3 linked regions of the Xenopus tropicalis genome follow. The protein of the gene in region 1 interacts with the protein of each later gene in a pairwise test. Links are inferred from orthologs where the notes say so. Each region holds a gene or a part of one and is shown on either strand. Other genes may lie near its edges.

Evidence for each region. The genes of interacting proteins can lie anywhere in the genome.
Region 2: the proteins of xrcc4 (region 1) and aptx interact in binary tests that used the Homo sapiens proteins (3 or more experiments, as listed by UniProt). The link is inferred for Xenopus tropicalis from reciprocal best matches to the Homo sapiens genes XRCC4 and APTX.
Region 3: the proteins of xrcc4 (region 1) and aplf interact in binary tests that used the Homo sapiens proteins (3 or more experiments, as listed by UniProt). The link is inferred for Xenopus tropicalis from reciprocal best matches to the Homo sapiens genes XRCC4 and APLF.

Annotation. Positions count from the first base shown.
Region 1 is NC_030677.2:181,249,137-181,255,782, reverse strand, and holds the start of xrcc4 (DNA repair protein XRCC4), read left to right. Parts: upstream 1-2,160; 5' UTR 2,161-2,192; intron 2,193-6,646.
Region 2 is NC_030677.2:94,456,398-94,462,468, forward strand, and holds part of aptx (aprataxin), read left to right. Parts: intron 1-3,142; 5' UTR 3,143-3,147; coding exon 3,148-3,277; intron 3,278-6,071. UniProt on the Homo sapiens protein: DNA-binding protein involved in single-strand DNA break repair, double-strand DNA break repair and base excision repair.
Region 3 is NC_030681.2:30,357,680-30,363,750, reverse strand, and holds part of aplf (aprataxin and PNK-like factor), read left to right. Parts: intron 1-2,435; coding exon 2,436-2,602; intron 2,603-6,071. UniProt on the Homo sapiens protein: Histone chaperone involved in single-strand and double-strand DNA break repair.

The sequences.
Region 1 (6,646 bases):
GTAGAATAGATTTTTTAGTTAAAAATTTATTAATAATAATTTTCCTTTAAAGCAGTGTTTCTTTATACTTCTGTTCTCTGGGTCTGACTTTTACTACGAAGCTCACATTAGCACATTGATGTGGTACCAACAGCCTGCATAACCCTTTTATGATCCAGGAGCCAGACAATCAGATCAGTACACTTTGACTGTGCGCACTGTCGGCTAAATTAGGCAAACATTTGTTTGGCAACCTCACCATCAAGCGGATCTCAACATGAATGGCCCGCTTAACAAGAGTCAGAACAACTTCACATCTTTTAATGAGTTGTTAGCTGGATTGCAAGATTGTTTCACGTGTGTGTAGAGAATACAAACAGATAAATACTAGTTTAGAAATAACAACTTAGATTGTAAGCACTAGGGGCAGGGACCTCCTTTCTACTGTGTCTCACACCACATGACACAATCTCTGTGTATTTATACTTATTTATTGTATTTATTATAACACTTGTCCTCCCTGTGTGTATCTGAGTTTATTGTAGGATTGTACAGCACTGCGGTTCTGCCATGGATGATCCCTGTTTCTCAGTGAGAAGGCCACTGTATTCTTCACGATTTATATGATATCTGCTGTGTAAACTTTTGCTTTTTTTCCCTATTCAGCTTGAAAGGTTAGCCCCATGGATACACAGCAACTTATTTATATCAACTGTAGTTATGAAGCAAAAACACACCTTTTTATTAGTGCAGAGTAAAGGCCCCCATACACGGGCCGACTATAGCTGCCGATATCAGTCCCTTGGACCGATTCGGCAGCTAATCGGCCCGTGTATGGGCAGAACAGAGCGGCCTGGCAGACCAATATCTGGCCTGAAATTGTCCAGATCTCGATCGGCCAGGTTAGAAAATCCAGTCGGATCGGGGACCGCATCAGCTCGTTGATGCGGTCACCGATCCCACTGCCCCATAACCTCAAATGTAATCCGATCGTTTGGCCCCAGGGCCAAACGATCGGATTATTTTTTTTTTAAGTCCCTTGCTACCCGATATCGCCCACCCGTAGGTGGGGATATCGGGTGAAGATCCGCTCGCTTGGCGACATCGCCATCACCCAAAAGCTTTTTCGCTGTGCATGCACTGGCCAGGGGCAACAGAAGCAAGAAGGTACGGATTAAATAATTGTGACATGATGCTCATACAGAAGTACCCCAGGCTGCTGCAATCTTCTGCCATCACCAGTACTGGCCCTGGGTATCAGGTAACATATGGAGCCACCAGTGACTCTAACTTTTTTTTTTGTTTTAAAAAGGAGCCACACCCAAAAAAAGTTAAATAAAAATTAATGAAAGAAACAGCACCTTACTAATACACATTGAATATTTTCATTGGTTTTAAAGTTATTTGTAAATGTAATGCTCAATTCAAGCTGTCTGGCTGTACTGACTCCCGAAACAAGAGAAAAGATAGGGCTAAAACAAATCCTGCTTCAATTGCACTTACACTTACAATTAACTTTAAAACAACTGCAAAACTGTTGTCAATTGTACATTGGGACGTCTCTCAGAATGACACTTTCATTACAAATTGTTTTGGTTGAAAAATGATTTATTATAGAATACACATATTCGGCTACTACAGGCAAGATGCTGCCAGGCATGCTGCACTTACACAGCCCGCTAAGGCTCAGCACCATAGGGACCTCCATGCAACGCTAGCCACCCGTCCTCCAATTGCTTGAGCTATAATTTTACATTACAAGAACAACCCTTGAGCATATAGAGCGCTGCCCAGGGCTCTAATGTGCAACCTACAGGTATTTAGCGGAGGTTCTCCCACTGATACCCAGGGACCCCAAACAAAACACACAACCGAAGCTACGGAGCGCAGCTGGAACTAAACAATCCCACCGGCTGAAGATACTACACCCTAAATAACATCGGCTTTTCAGCAAAACTCACCATAGTGTTTCCTTCTCAGCCACATCACACTTCCTGCAGAAAACGTCACCTCCGCTCGTCACTGATTGGACGATCGGCCGCCCTTCATTCTTCCCGCTAGCTCCGAACTACGTTATGTCACTGATTCTGGATTTCTGTCTGTTGCTAGGGCAGGTGATGTCACTGAGCTACTTTCGCTTCCTATTGGGCAGTTTTATTTTGCAGCTTTTGTAGGAACACGGAAGTTGCGAGGGAATTCCTTTCGTTACAGAGGTAGGAAGCAATGGTGGGCATGACTATCGTAATACTTATTAAAATTAGAATAAAAGCAGTGGCGTATGCACTTATAGTGAAAAATAATAGAGATTTATTAGTGTGGCACACGGCAGTTTCTACTTGGGTGAGCAGCAGTGTGCCATGAACCCTGCAGGTGTTCAAATCAACCAGCTTTCCTTTCTGTGTATGAATTCATTCCCAGAATTCCTTTTGTTTGCTTTCTGTCTATCGGAAATATTATTTTTAATTTAATTATTTTTTACCTCTAGTTTTAATTCCGACCAACTGCATAGAAGCAGCCGTCTCCTGACCATCAGCCAGTTCTCATGACCTATTTTTATGATATGCAGCTTGCTAAAATGCATTCATTAAAAACTGTCAATATGTTTAAAGTCATTTGTAATTAAAAGCTGTGTTTGTTCTTTTCTGCCATGCCTTTTCACTGGTCTTTCATTCAGCTGGATTCTGCAACATTGTTTCAGGAGTCCAACCAGTAGTACAGAGAATAGTAAGGGACAATCACATTGTCAGTAGCATTTACATTTACAAATAACTTTAAACCCATTTTTCTTAAAGGGGAACAACGCCTTCCAAACCAATTTGTTAAAGAGCCCCAAACAAGACAGAAACCCCTGTAATCTGTTCCTTCGAAAATTATTAATAAATACAATTTTTAACTGCTGAAATTCAGCTGCAAAACAGTTTTTATCTTTACATCATTTGAAATCCTGGCAGGGGAGGAGGGACTAAAGCACTGATGTTACAAATTGCATTGCACTGTGAAGTTGCTTTTCTTATTGACATCACATGTGCATGGGATTGTGGGATTTCGAGAGTGCAGGCTGAAGGCAGGCTTTGGACAGTCGACTACTGTTACATTTTTCTCAAAGTAGTCAGCCAGGAGAACAGGGGGCGAGGCTTAGGTAACTGTTACAAACAATAGTATTACATTAAAATGTAAAAAAACATTTTTTATTATTTCTGGGTTTCACCCCTTTTAACTTTTAGCATGTTTAATGCCATCTTGCTGTTTAAATATAGTGGGCCAGTAATTCCCTATACCACATATTTCTGGGCCAGGTTATAATGATGATGGGGGTCAGTGGAAGTTTTTAGTAACATAGGGGCCATAAAGATCTCTTGGAGAGCCACATCTGGCCTGTGGGGTTCTAGTTGGACAGCCCAGCCTTTGACAGTGATACTCTGACAAGGGGTAAAAAAAACATCTTATAAAAAACTGTAGACTGTTGTGGATGCTTAATACTTTTACAAATGTATCCAGTGTAATATTGGTATGGACAGTACCAGTGAATGAGTTTAGAAGAGTTGTTAAGGGAAAACACAACAGAAATGTGTCTTCTTTAAACAAAGTAACATACAAAGTAATATATAAATAAAACGAGGGCTGTGGAGTCGGTAGATAAATTCTCCGACTCCGACTCCTCAGTTTCTGATACTTCCGACTCCGACTCTGTTTTTAATATGCTAATGTATTTTATACATTCATACAGTCAATGAAAAGCATGCTTCATGGTCACTCAACGTGTTTGTTTATGCACTGCGTGCATTGGGCTTTATTCTTATAGCAGAGAAGTAATTAATTATGACTGTTTGTGAACTGGGACATTTAAACTTGCTTTATTTTTTTTTTTATTCCCATTTAAATTTAGTAGGAGTCGGTTCTTTTTTTGCCGACTCCGACTCCAGGTACCCAAAATTGCCTCCGACTCCACAGCCCTGAAATAAACGAAATATTTGTTTTACATTATACCAGTTTGTATATATTGCCAGGATTTATAGCATAAATAATAAAAACTAGCCAGCCTACCTAAAAAATTAAAATAACTGGTTGAACGTATCAATAAATAAATGTCTCAAATCCTTATAATAATTATTGTAACAACTGTAAACAAATCAATAATGCCATTTTTTTAAGTACTGTAATGTGTTGCAAATTGGGACTACTGTTGCAACCAACCACCACCAACAACTAATCAGACTAGCTAGGTTACTGCTTAAAGGAGAAGGAAAGTCATTTTGCCATTTTACTGCCAATAGGTTTAACACATTAGTGCCACCTGGAACAATATATTTATTCTGCAGAAAGCATTGCCAGACCTGAGTAAAGAGCCCTAGAAGATTTCTCTGTTTGCTTAAGACAGCAGCTACCATTTTAAATAGCTTCCTGTTTGCAGTCTAGCTGTTATAGCTCAGATCACACATTCCTAAGGGAGGGGGGAAGGAGTTATGAGCATTTTTATGGGAGGGGGGAGGAGGAGAGAACTGCATAGACTCTGGCCATGGGAATTAAGGATTTTTCTGAGAGAGGAAGTCGGACACCAGAACAACATGTTTACAAAAAAGGAGACCAGAAATTCTTTGTTTGATAGAGTGCAAGTGTTTCTGTGAGAGCTTATGGCTGTATTAACATGGACCTTTCTGATAAAGCTTACTTAGTTTTTACCTTTCCTTCCCCTTTAAAGGAACAGTAACACCAAAAAATGAAAGTGTTTTAAAGTAATTAAAATATAATTTACTGTGTGCACTGGCAACACTGGTGTGTTTGCTACAGAAACACTACTATAGTTTATATAAATAAGCTGATGTGTAGCCATGGGGGCAGCTATTGAAGCTGGAAAAATGGAGAAAAGGCACAGGTTACATAGATAACCGATAACAGATAAGACACCGCTGTATTTCACTGTTTATCTGTTAGCCACAATATAACCTGTGCTTTTTCTCCTTTTGAATAGCTGCCCCCATGGCTATACAGCAAGGTATTTATAAAAAAAAAACTCTATTAGTGTTTCAGAAACAAATATACAGCTTTTACCAGTGCAGGGTAGCAGTACATTATAGTTTAATTTTTTGATATAATTTCTTTTTTGGGTATTACTGTTCCTTTATTATATGTACCTAATAAGGAGTAGGGCTACTTTTTGACTTCAGCACAGCTTCAGTTCTTTATGGAATGCTATTATACAAACCCTGGTCTATGTTTAGATGTATGTGACTATTTTTCAAGAAAAAAAAGCACCTGTTTCTTAACATAGAAAGGCTTAACTTAACCCGCTTCCCACCATCCAGTTTGTCACAGTATTTTCAGTACCTTTGAAAAGCTGAACACCATTAATTTTGGTGGAGTATTAGGGCTCAGCAGAGCGGTGCTATTATCAAGTCAGGGATTGATAAATAAAGGCTGAAGGTTTTCCAGTCTGTGTTGGTGAGCTTGACCTGTGACCAGTGTTTCTATTTCTTGCTGATGCAGTTTGTGTGGATCTGCATATATTGATGATCCCTTTTGACATTAAATAATTTCCTTATTATTTGGACCAATACATCTGTATTTTAGGCACTGACTCTTTTGCCTCTTTTGAACTTTTAGTTGTCTTTGAAAACTCAAGTGCTTATAGTTCTTTTTATAGGTGATATATACTACTGGCAGGCAGCCAGGCTTGCTTTCCTTTTGCTTTTCCTTTTCCTGCAGAGGCTTGTTGTTTTTATTTTTGAGTTCTGTTTAAAAAAACATATCTACTAATTTCAATTCTTTAGAATATATATTATTAGAATATATATTGTTTTTGGGTACAATGTAATTATTTGTGCAGAAATTCTTAAACAGTATCTTTTTTGATTATTCAGTTTGGTAGCATAAGGACTAAACTCCATGGGAGATTTTGATCAGATTTTGTGGGTTAAATTTTATCTGATCTTGTCATGCAACAGTACGCGGCAGTGCACAACAGCACGAGATTTTGTAGGATCCTACAAATTCTGATCTCCACAGCTGTAATGTAATGTCGGATCAGATAAAGTTGAATGTTTTCTTATGTTTTTGACAATCAATGTATTTCAATGAGAAAAAAAAGTCTTGCTAAAGTTACATGTAGTTTACACATCAGATTTTTCAGTCCCATTATATTTTGACCCATGCAACTACATCTGACTTGTGAGATGCGTTTTGTCAATCTGACACCATCCGACAAAAGCGCTCATGGAGTTCAGCCCTAAGGATGTGTGTGGTGGAGTCCCTTTGCTCCTTGACCTGTTCAATTGGCATGTCAAGTTGAACCTTTAGATTATTTCATGAGCTTTGTGGCCAGATATAAATGTACTCCATGTTCCTTTTTTTTATATTTTCCCTCTAAATATCAGTTGAGTCCAGACTGTACCAATTATTACGCTTTTGAATGGACTGAGAGTATGGCTATTATTTTACGTAATACAATTTTTTATATCCTATAGGACTTTATGTTACAGTTACTTTTTTATTTTTTTTAGCAAAAGCTCAATAATTTTTCTTATTAATATGTTTGACCCCCACATAACTTTTGCAAGATATTAATCCCATTTATAAACACTGGGCACATTTACACATGGGCAGTAATCAATAGCAGCCAGTCAGTGATATGTTTTATTAACCAGCTGCAGGTTAAACAATGAAAACAAGC
Region 2 (6,071 bases), about 87 Mb from region 1:
TTGCTGCTCTCCTCACATTCCCCCTCCCTCCTCACCATCTAATTTTGTAACCAGTGCATGTACATGGGTATCGGGTCCCCCCATACTGGCACAGAAACAAGATTTTGGCAGGATGCACAGCTTGCTTTAATAACAGTGTCCACAAAATGGAGCTTGCCTGTTTTCTGCAATGGTGAATTCCAAGGCTGAAGGAAATAGGTTTCAAAAAATGTATATAGTGTAATTGAAGTTTATTTTGCTTGACAAACACAATAGAAAACAATTTGTAATTATTTCTTAGGGTGACAGGTCCCCTTTAAAAAGAGGGAGAGTATCATGCAAATCTATACCCCTTTTTAATATAGCTCAAAATCTTCCCCCTACCATTTAACCCTTCCGAATGCTAATTAGCATATATGAATTTATGCTAATTCGGTTCGGCCGGGACTGTGGATTCTGCCAAAACTGAATCCTTCAAAAAAAAAAAAAAAGGCTATATTCGGCCAGAATCCTGAACGGAATCCAGGATTCAGTGCATCCCTAGTCATTTGCAAACACTGATAAATTTCTTTCAATACCCACCCCAAGTTATTAATGAATAAATAAAAAAGGACCCAATACAGAACCCTGTGGAGAACCCTACTTCATTCAGAGAATGTACGATTTACAACCATCCCCTGTACACAATTCTTTATTTCTGCTAAAACAATTAAGCAAGAAATTCAGGGAATTTTGAGTCAAATTTAAAGATGTTGTTTACCTTTAAATTTTCTTTTAATATGACATAGACAATGATATTTTAAGACAGTTTGCAGTTGGTTTTTATTTTTTTTGTGGTTTTTCAGTTATTTTTTGTTCCTCGGCTCTCCAGTTTGGAATTTCAGCAGCTGTCTGGTTGCTAGAGCCTTGTTTACCTTAGCAACCAGGCAGTGGTTTGTGAGACTGGAGAGGGACTGAAGAGAAAGATAAGTAATACAAAGAAACAATAACAATAAAATGGTAACCTCAGAAATCAATACTGGTTTAGGGCTGTGTCACACGGGGAGACTAGTCGCCCTCGACTAATCTCCCCAAAATGCCATCCCTCCGGTCGGTGAAAATGTAAATTGCCGGTGGGATGGCATAAATGCCTTTAAGAAAAATTATAAATAGCATGCAAAGACAGTGTTACGGTAGATGTAAATAAGGTTTAATTTCTGGTGTCAGTATCTCTTTAAAGGTGAACCATGCCTTTAAGATCTCTGTTTTGTTCTCTTGCTACAGGTATCGGACCCCTTATCCGGAAACCCGTTATCCAGAAAGCTCCGAATTACGGAATGCCCGTCTCCCATAGACTCCATTTTAATCAAATAATTCAGAATTTTAAAACTGATTTCCTTTTTCTATGTAGAAATAAAACAGAACCTTGTAATTGATTCCAACTAAGATATAATTAATCCTTACTGGATGCAAAACAATCCTATTGGGTTTAATTCATGTTTTATTGATTTTTTTTAGTAGACTTAAGGCACAGAGATCCAAATTACGGAAAGACCCCTTATGCGGAATACCCTTGGTCCCGAGCATTCTGGATAATGGGTCCTATACCTGTACTATATGCTGGAACACGAGCTACAAATATATCAAATCTGCCCCTTTGACTCACCTTACCAAAATTAGTCTATGAAGATTTTCATTCATCCAGGTCATGGTATATCTAGTATAAATAAATTTAAAGCTACTGGACTTGTTTGGTAATCATTGAAGACGTTTCACTACTCATCCGAGCAGCTTCTTCAGTTCAACTGACTCGTATGGGAAGTCCTCAGCATATATACTCTTCCACTAATCCAATCACAATGGCACTTTGTAACTCTTCAGAAAGGTGACATCTGAAACTCACAGAGGTGTGAATGCTGTGGAGTTACTTTGAAAGGATTACCAAAGTATCATGCAACTCTTCAAAGCAGGTGTTACTTGTTAGAGTTGCATGAATGGATGTGTGAAGAGTTCTGAAACTGCCGGGGTACAGATGTTAGAACAGCATTGTATGTAGCAGACAGATGGTGTTGAAGTCCCCCGCCCAACAGGAACACCAAAAGGAATAACTGTCCTGAGGCAGAGAGAAGGCGCAATATAGTCATCCCATATGTAGCAGGAGTGTCGGAGAAACTCAGGAGAATTTTCAGCAAACACCACATCCCTGTGTTTTTCAAACCTAGCAACACACTGTACACCCAAAGGATCCAACACCAAAGCAAAAACAAAGCAATGTTGTATACGCAGTCCAGTGTAGCGAGGAGTGCACAGACCTTTACATTGGTGAAACAAAGCAACTGCTCTCCAAGCGAATGGCTCAGCATAGGAGGGTGAACACTACAGGCCAGGACACTGCTGTATTTCTACACCTAAAAGACAATGGACACTCCTTTGAAAATAGCAACGTCCAAATTTTGGACAAAGAAGACCGCTGGTTTGAAAGAGGTGTAAAAGAGGCCATTCATGTCAAAGTAGAGAAACCATCCCTAAACAGAGGCGGAGGACTTCGACACCATCTGTCTGCTACATACAATGCTGTTCTAACATCTGTACCCCGGCAGTTTCAGAACTCTTCACATATCCATTCATGCAACTCTAACAAGTAACACCTGCTTTGAAGAGTTGCGTGATACTTTGGTAATCCTTTCAAAGTAACTCCACAGCATTCACACCTCTGTGAGTTTCAGATGTCACCTTTCTGAAGAGTTACAATGTGCCATTGTGATTGGATTAGTGGAAGAGTATATATGCTGAGGACTTCCCATACCAGTCAGTTGAACTGAAGAAGCTGCTCGGATGAGTAGTGAAACGTCTTCAATGATTACCAAACAAGTCCAATCGCTTTAAATTTATTTATACTAGACTTACCAAAATGAGTTTACTTTGTCCAAAACTGCCACAGGTGTTATATGAAACTGTGTCCCCTTCCAAAAATTACAAAGAATAGTAGAAAGTCACCTTTCAACCAACATAAAGCAATCTAGTCTAGTTTGCCTTTTTAAAGAGGATTTTTGTCTCTGTCTGCAGTTTTATCATGCAAAAATAAAGTAAAAAGCATCCTTGTTAAAGCAAAACTTGTTTTCCTTTAATCTGCTGGCCAGCCAGTCTCAGATATAACTGTTTTTGTCTTGCCCTGTTTTAACAGGAACAATGATTGAATGTTGGCTGGTAAGTAAGGATGGAAAACATGGTCGAATAAGGCTGCCTCATGCAGAGACTGTGGTAATTGGCCGAGGGCCTGAGACACAGATAACTGACAAGAAGTGCTCTAGACATCAAGGTAATTCAGACTACACACATTAATTCAACTGGATTATACTAGCAGTATAACTGCATACCTGTTTTTTTTACATGCAAGGTATATTTCACTGTGTCTGTAAAATGTAACATAAAAAAAAACATTGAAAAAAGACAAACGTCCATCACGTTCAACCATAATGCCTATATATAACCTGCCTAACTGCTAGTTGATCTAGAGCAGTGCTGTCCAACTTCTGTGGTACCGAGGGCCGGAATTTTTCCAGCCTCCGTGGTGGAGGGCCAGTAATGGAAGCTAGTTTTGACCACTCCCCTTTTTAAAACCACACCCACTTGAAACCACACCCATGTTATCGCATGACCATACCCATATTAATGGTGGTAGTACAGCAAAAACCTGCCATACTCTGCCTTCCCTACCCTGCCTGTGTGTGCCATACTCTGCCTGCCCTACCCTGCCTGTGTGTGCCATACTCTGCCTGCCCTACCCTGCCTGTGTGTGCTATACTCTGCCTGTCCTATGCTGCCTGTGTGTATGGCACACACAGGCAGCATAGGGCAGGCAGAGTATGGCACACACAGGCAGCATACAGTGACACAATGCTGGCACTGCTCCTACAGTCTGCACAATAACTATATATTAAAAAACTTTTTAATTGCAGTGCCACCTCAGTTTATGTTCTTTTTATAGTGTGCAGGGTGTGTTTGTGGGTTTCTACTGCTCCTACAGTCTGTCTGAGGTGTGAACAGGTGAACAATGTGGGTGATTACAGCCTGAGCCTGAGGTGTGAACACTGCTGGGGGTGAACAATGTAGGGATTAAAAGGTGTGAACAACACAGGGGATTACATGATTAAACAATACAGGGGGATTACAGCCTGAATCTGAGTTGTGAACCATGCAGGGGGCCAGTACTGATACCATTTAAAGTCGCCTGTTGGACAGCACTGATCTAGAGGAAGGAAAAAAAAAACCCCATCTGAAGCTCTTATTTGCCGGAACAGGGGTTAGTTAGTGTGTTATAATTTTGTAAATGCATTGATGGTTTAAAACGAGACCTGTCACTGTAAGGAATAATTCCAGATTCTTTTCTATTGTGTATGTCTAGCAAAATAAACTTTACTGACACAAATTTCAATCTTCTTTCCTTCATTCTTTTAGAATCCAAGCATAGAGCATATAGGTGCCATTTTGAGTCAATCTTTGCATTATTCTAAAATAAGTTTTATGTACCAAAATGGGGTACCTGATGCCCATACCCATGCACAGGCTACACCTGTATAGACAGTGAGGGAGGGGAGAATTTGAGGAATTTAGTGACCTCTAGGAAGTGCTAAATAGAAAGTAAAAGTAAAAATAATTTTATTATACAGCTTTTATGTCTGGGTGACAGGTCTCTCTTAAGCGCGCCCACTTTGTGAAGGCTGACTTTTGCAACAATGGATCTCGGATGTGCTAATTCTCTGTGTTCATCAGAATTTTCAGCCATTGCTCAGTTTGTATCAGTATTTCTATTATTTACAGTGACAGAAGACAGTACCAAACTTACTTATTCACCTCTCACTGACCATTGGCTATTAATGATATTGTTGCTGTTTTTGGTAGTGTAACAAGAGAGTCACAGCCCTATATATATATATATATATATATACACAAAATACAGAGTGAAGAGCACACCAAAATTAAATAGCGATACCTGGGTGCCCGAGCAGCAAAATTGAAATACAAATAAAAAGTGTCAGCACTCACAGGATTCTCACGATAGTATTCATGGACGAAAAGTCCATGAATACGTCAGTAAAGACGTCAGTAAAGAACCGAAACGTTGGATCAATAAAACCTCACCTTATTGCATCTAACTACGACTTTTCGTCCATGAATACTATCGTGGGAATCCTGTGAGTGCCGACACTTTTTATTTGTATATATATATATACATATATATATATATATATACATATACATATATACACACAGTAAAGACCCTTAGCTGCTCAAATGGAGAGTAATATATAGCTTAGTCCAGTGCTGTCCAACTGGCTGCTTTGATGGTTTACCTTTGTGTAAACTTTAAATGGTATCAGTACTCAGATTAACTGGCCCCCTGCATGGTTCACACCTCAGATTCAGGCTGTAATCCCTCTGTATTGTTTAAATATGTAATCCCCTGTGTTTTTCACACCTTTCAGTTTCTGCATTGTTCACCCCCTGCAGTGTTCACACCTCAGGCTCAGGCTGTAATCACCCACATTGTTCACCTGTTCACACCTCAGACATTGTATGTAGTGCCTGGACTATGCTGCCTGTGTATATGGCACACACAGACAGCATAGGGTAGGCATAGTATGGCACATAGGCAGCATAGGGCAGGGAGGGTATGGAACACACAGGCAGCATAGGGCAGGCAGAGTATGGCACACACAGGCAGCATAGGGCAGGCATAGTATGGCACACACTGGCAGCATAGGGCAGGCAGAGTATGGCACACACAGGCAGCATAGGGCAGGGAGGGTATGGAACACACAGGCAGCATAGGGCAGGCAGAGTATGGCACACACAGGCAGCATAGGACAGGCAGAGTATGGCACACACAGGCAGCATAGGACAGGCAGAGTATTGCACACACAGGCAGCATAGGGCAGGGAGGGTATGGAACACACACAGGCAGCATAGGGTAGGCAGAGTATGGCACACACAGGCAGCATAGGGCAGGCAGAGTATGGCACACACAGGCAGCATAGGGTAGGCAGTGAGAGGTGAACCTGGCAGGGGTTTGTTCTGGGAGTTTGTTAGCAGTTGGAATTAGCCATTAAATG
Region 3 (6,071 bases), on another chromosome or scaffold:
AACTGAGCATGATCAGTAGCCAACAGCCAAACACATTCCCAAGGGAGGGGCTGAGTGGGTTAGAGGAGGAGAAGGAATCACAAAGTGATAAAGGGGATGCTGCAGCCTTACTATTAACCTTTGACCAACAGGAGTGGCAGGTATTTAAAGATTTCAGAGAGGCTGTTAACTGATTTTTTGTGGGCGGATTTACATGCCCTTTAAGGCCCAAAAATGCGCACACAAGCTTTTTCAGGCTGAAATCCACTCCATATATATACAATGTCAGATGGGGTTCTTTGGTCACTGACTGCAGGCACAAGTAGTATCAGCATTGATGTTTTCCGTATTGATGTTTTCTCACCTAAAGACATTAGCCTTCCATCTTCCTTTGTGTATTAGCATCACCAAGTGTAAAACAGAGTTATCTGCTTTGTGGTCACTTGTTTCCTTCTTTTTAAATTACTTTCACTGTAGACCTTCTCTAGATGCATCAACATTCATAGACCCTGGGGCAGTTGGTTTTCACGCGTTCATTGTCCTATTAAAAAAAAAAGTACATTTTGTATTCTACATATCGGCAGGTATAAACCATTTATTTCTTGATCTTTTCCGTGCTTTTTATATTAACATGCAAATCTACATATTGAGACCAAAAAAGTTTGGTTATTTGAATTTTATTTCATGTTACATTCTTGGAATAGATCATTGTGTAATAAAGTAGAATACCTGCTGTTCCTAATTAAATGGCCGCTTCTCTCGGGAACAAATTAATTATTTCTAGCTATGGGAAATGTTACATAGTTACAGTTTTACAGCCTAATAATTGCACAAAAGAAACCCACTATGCAGTGTAAAAATGAATTGCCTTTAACTTTAGAGTCTGTATTGAGGAAGTGATTGATGTTCAAACTTTCAACTAATAGAGGAATTGACCTGCAGAGTTTGTTGTTATGGAAAACAAGCTCTTGTTGATTGTGATTGATGAAAACTCCTAGTACTTCCAGCTGATAGAACAATAGATTCAGAGATTGCATTCATGAAGGAACTCTTCACAGAGAGCTTACAGGTGATCAAACCCATTATGATTTCAGTATGTAATCTTTACCATTCCTGTAGCGTGGGAGTGAAATGTTCTGCTTATAAATGAACTAAGAGATAGCAGTTTCAGCAACAAGCTAGTAAAATACAATAGGGCTCATGTACGTCCACAAGTCCAGTTGCGGTCCAGGTAATTTCCCCGCAGTCAGCTGTGCGTAAAAAAAGGTACTTGCATTAAAATGTGCTCTCTCTATAGTTGCACTCAGCGGCGCTCAGTCTGTCCTGTTTTCCATTCTGAAATGGGTGTTGCTGCACCTATTAATGCATGGAAACCCTGAAGCTACTGCCACCTCCAAACCAAGTGATAGCTCCAGGGTTCCTGTAGCACCCTGCAATTATGCATCGCTGCAGTTAAGCTGAAATTTTGGGGAAAAATATATGTAAGATAAAATGTTGCCTTCTGATTTTTCTTTTTTGGTAAGTAAACCCAGGTGCTAACTGTGGGTAGTATTTAAGGCCTAGATAAAAAATATAAAGCAAAGCAGTTCCCTAGGTTAATGTTTCTTAAACTGTGAATTCTGATGGAATGCACTGATCATTGTACCTTCCAACACACTGGAGCACAGTCCTAAACAGATATATTTTGAGGTGGCCATACACAGGGCGATTTAAGATGCCAGTTTATCAGCCCATGTTTGGGGCCCTCAGACAGGTCTGTCTGACCGATATCTTGGTGAAAATTGGGCAGATGTCGATTGGGCAGGTTTAAAAATCTCATCAGGGTGAAGAGTGAGGCTTATTAATGTGGTCCTGGTTCCGATGGCCTGCATCATGTCAATGTGATCTGATCGGATCAATCCGATATTGCCCACTTCAAGGTTGGCATATAGGGTTGATAAAGTTGATCTTTCAGTATATGGCCAGGGTTAGATCCTATATAGATTAAAAGTAGTGTACAATACCAGCACAATAGAATTGTTTTTTGGGATTCTTTTTTTACCCTCCATCCTATTTATGTGTTGTTCATAATTACATATAACATATTTCAAACTTTTTTATATCATAGTTATATTTTTCTTTTTATTACGTGTAACTTTAATGTGAATGATTGTAGATTTAGGCTGCTGTAGTCCTTCCAGTGATGCAGATTGCTGTGATCAGTCTGGAAAAGCTGTCAAACAGTGACTATAACTGTACTGTATTTGGAAAGCCTAAAATTGTAAAGCAAAAGTTTATACCCTAGGAGACGTTTCTTCAGTTTCAATGGATTCTTTGTGCTTTTCATTTCGTTATGTGGAATGCAAAAAAATGACAGGTTTCAACTGCAAAAAAAGATGTCCCCCCTGCTGAAACACTTGCTGTTCTTTGATCTCCTTTTCTGTAATAACAAAAATGCAATTTTTCTTTTTTTGTAGGTGCATGTGAATCCCTGTTTTTATCAAGGTCCTGGTGGAAACACATTTATTCCTTTGGAAAAAGACAAATGGCATTGGTTACACTCTGGGGACTGTTTTTCTCTTTTGCCAGATAAATATACATTCAAAGTCATTGCTGACACTTCTACAGAGGAGAGTACTGAAAGGTAAAGTAACATATTTCAAGTGATATATAAATATATATATATATATGTTGCTATTTTTTATACATAGATTCCTAGCAGAGGAAGGATCATATGAATGAAGATCTGCTGCAAAGGGAGGGGTTGTGGGGTAGGGTATGTAAACAGTACAGAAAGGGGTATGCACCCCCTTGTTCACCTTGAGTTCAATGAATAGTTTTTATGCTGAACATACTTTTTGCCTATTGTTATAATCACAAAAAATCTGTTTTTTTGTTATTTCTTGAGCTAAACAGGGAAATTAAAGCTACTCTGTGTTTGGCCCTTGAGTGGTAATAATTAGAATACCAGTACACAGGTAATCCCCTAGCTAACAAAACAGTCACAGCAAAGAGGGAAGCTAGGGATAGTATTCTGGTAATTTAAACTACCTCACAAGGACCAAACATGCAGTAGCTTCAATTTCCCTCAAGAAAACAAAAACCATAGATTTGCTAGAAATAGGGCATTCTATAACATACTAAAAGTTTATTAAAATGTGAACCACCCCTTTAAAAAATAAGTATGCTTTAACTGTGACTTGTACAGGTATGGGACCTGTTATCTGGAAAGCCGTTATCCAGAAAGTTCAGAATTACGGAAAGGCCATCTCCTATTATAAAAAAATAATTTTGCTTTTTAAAAATGATTTCCTTTTTCTTTGTAATAATAAAACAGAACATTGTACTTGACCCCAACTAAAATATCATTAATCCCTACTGGGGCAAAACAATCCTATTGGGTTTAATAATATTTAAATGATTTTGGACTTAAAGTTTGGCGATCCAAATTACGGAAAGACCCCTAATCCGGAAAACCCCAGGTCCCGAGCATTCTGGATAATGGGTCCCATACCTGTACTGGTAATAAGTAATAGGCGTCTGTCTGTGTATGTATTTCAGTAGCTGTCTGGCTACTAGGGATTTACCCTAGCAAACCAGGCAGTGGTTTGAATGAGAGGTCGGAAAATGAGTAGAAGAAGGCCTGAATAAAAATATAAACAAAAAAAGTTACAATAACAATAAAATTGTAGCTTAACAACAGGGTAATAGTTTTTAGCTGCTGGGGTCAATTACACCCATTTGAAAGCTAGAAAGAGGCAGATGAGGAAGGCAAATATTTCAAAAACTATAATAAATAGTAATAACACATTGCAAAGTTGCTAGGAATAGGGAATTCTATAATACACTAGAAGGTAACTCAAACGTGAACCACCCCTTTATGGAATAAGTACACATTTTTATTTTAGAATGCCTAAAATGACTCTAAACAGCCTCTAAAATGACACACCTCCCTACTTAGAGTCCGATGTCCGATCTAGTGGGAAGTTCCGACAGCTCCTTGACCTATTCAAAGTAGAAGGAAGGCTCAGCATACTAAAGGGGAACAGAGATTCACCCTATAAAAGGAAAGTGACTGATTTCTGCAGCATGTTTCAGTTTCTATCTTAGAAACTCAATGTAGGGAGAGACTTTCGGGGTCATTTAGAGTTTTTTAGGGATTTTAAAAGGTTTACTTTTTCTTTAATGATCTAAGGGCTGTTCAGATATATTTTGAAATGTAGTTATATTTATTTAATATTTTGAATGAATACAGAACCCTATAAACCTGTGAACTGTTGGTTCAGCCAGTTTTGCTGATATTAGCCATTGTTATTCTTGTTTAGTTGGGGCTTAATTTTTTGCATTTCAAAAAACAAAAGTTAATCAAAAAACTTTTTCACGTGTGAAAGTCAAACTGACTTCTAACTGTATAACTTTAATGTTAAAAACCAACATCACATTTAAAAAAAAGTTTTTTTTACAATAATTAAATAGCCCCTTATTACCTTGATTTTATGGGAATATATAATTCCAGCTTGCTACCATGATAGTATACTTTTATCATTTTAGAAAATTTTGGTTGAAAGTGCGTGATTCAGTGCACTTCGTCTTAAATTATTTTTCCAGAACACCAGGCTTGTCGATTGATGATGTGTCTGCTTTGGCGTTACTGTTGTCTAAACTAACGTGCTATTACTTTTGGGTCATGAGTTTCAAGGCTGTTGTGACAGAGCTAATTTGGCTTGACAGCACTCTGATGGCAGGTGATGGTTCTGTCAATGTCTTTTAAATTTGCTTTTGCTGTTCACAAATGAGTCATGAATTATAGTCTCAACCTTCACCTGCAGCCTGATTGTTATTTGTCTTTCTACTAAAGCTATATTTTTCCAGGCCCCACAAGGATGGCTGTAAGCAAGTTGCTGGATAATAATTGGTGTTCATAGAAATGCATGATTTTTTTTTTAATATTTTTTCTAATAAATTGAACTACCTAATAGTCTTATAGGATAATTATGGTTTGAACATTCCCTGTTGCAGTGACCCTGGTGATAAGAGATGAATGGGAAACAGGATTTAAGAAAAATAGCTAATAGGAGAAGCACAGTTTTTCTAGATTTTACAAGGCTTTATAAAGGGCAGCAGAAAATAATATAATTCTGTTCTGTGGTTTTCACTGTTTTATAAACAAACCCTTCTATATCCATGTTGAGTAAAACTCATAGAAAGTAAAGAATCAACTCTGATTATTTAGGAGGCATTTGTGTAAAGCTCCTTTTGATTGCTTAAATAACTTATGTGACTTGATGGAATTAAAGTGGAAAAGTGCATTTTCTCCTTATGCCTGTGGCTGGAGTTAATGGACTAATGGCCGTATCCTTTCCCACTTAGATTACTGCAATCTCCTACTAGCCCTTGTAACTCTATCCTTGAATCCCTCCGTAGGGAATACTCACTCTCTTAAAGATAAAAGTCAGATGCTACCTTCTGGAGCACTAAAACATTATTTTGTCTAGTCCTGCGCTTAAGGGCAAATGCACATACCTGGTACAATTTGTCTCCTGTATGTTACCCAACCATTTAGATTGTAAGCTCTACGGGGCAGGGACCTCCTTCCTACTGTGTCTCATACCACATGGCACTTAACCTCTCCGTATTTATACTTATTTATTGTATTTATTGTATTTTATCTTTCTTCTATCCATGGAAATAAATCCTGGCATAAATTACACGTTATTTTAATTATTTATTATAATAATATATAGTAATATACATTATAATATTAATTTTATGTTATCATGCACGCACAACTAAATATGAATGTGTTTGTCAGGTGGCAAAACAGCCAATATACTGCACTCACATATCTTTTAAAAATGTACCGTAATAAAAACTTCCCTTCTTGTGAAGGCCTTCAAATGGCTCTGAAACATTAAATGAATAAGCAGGTAAAGGTAAAATTTTGATTTATTAAAGGATAATTAAACCTTAAATAAGCAATGTAAAACTACTTAGGGTGGTTTTCTAAGCACATTTGCAATTTATATTAATTATTTTTTCTGTTTTAGAGCTGTTTAAGTTTTTATTAACTGCCAATATAATGAATTTTGTAACAACAGCACCACTTTTTTTCC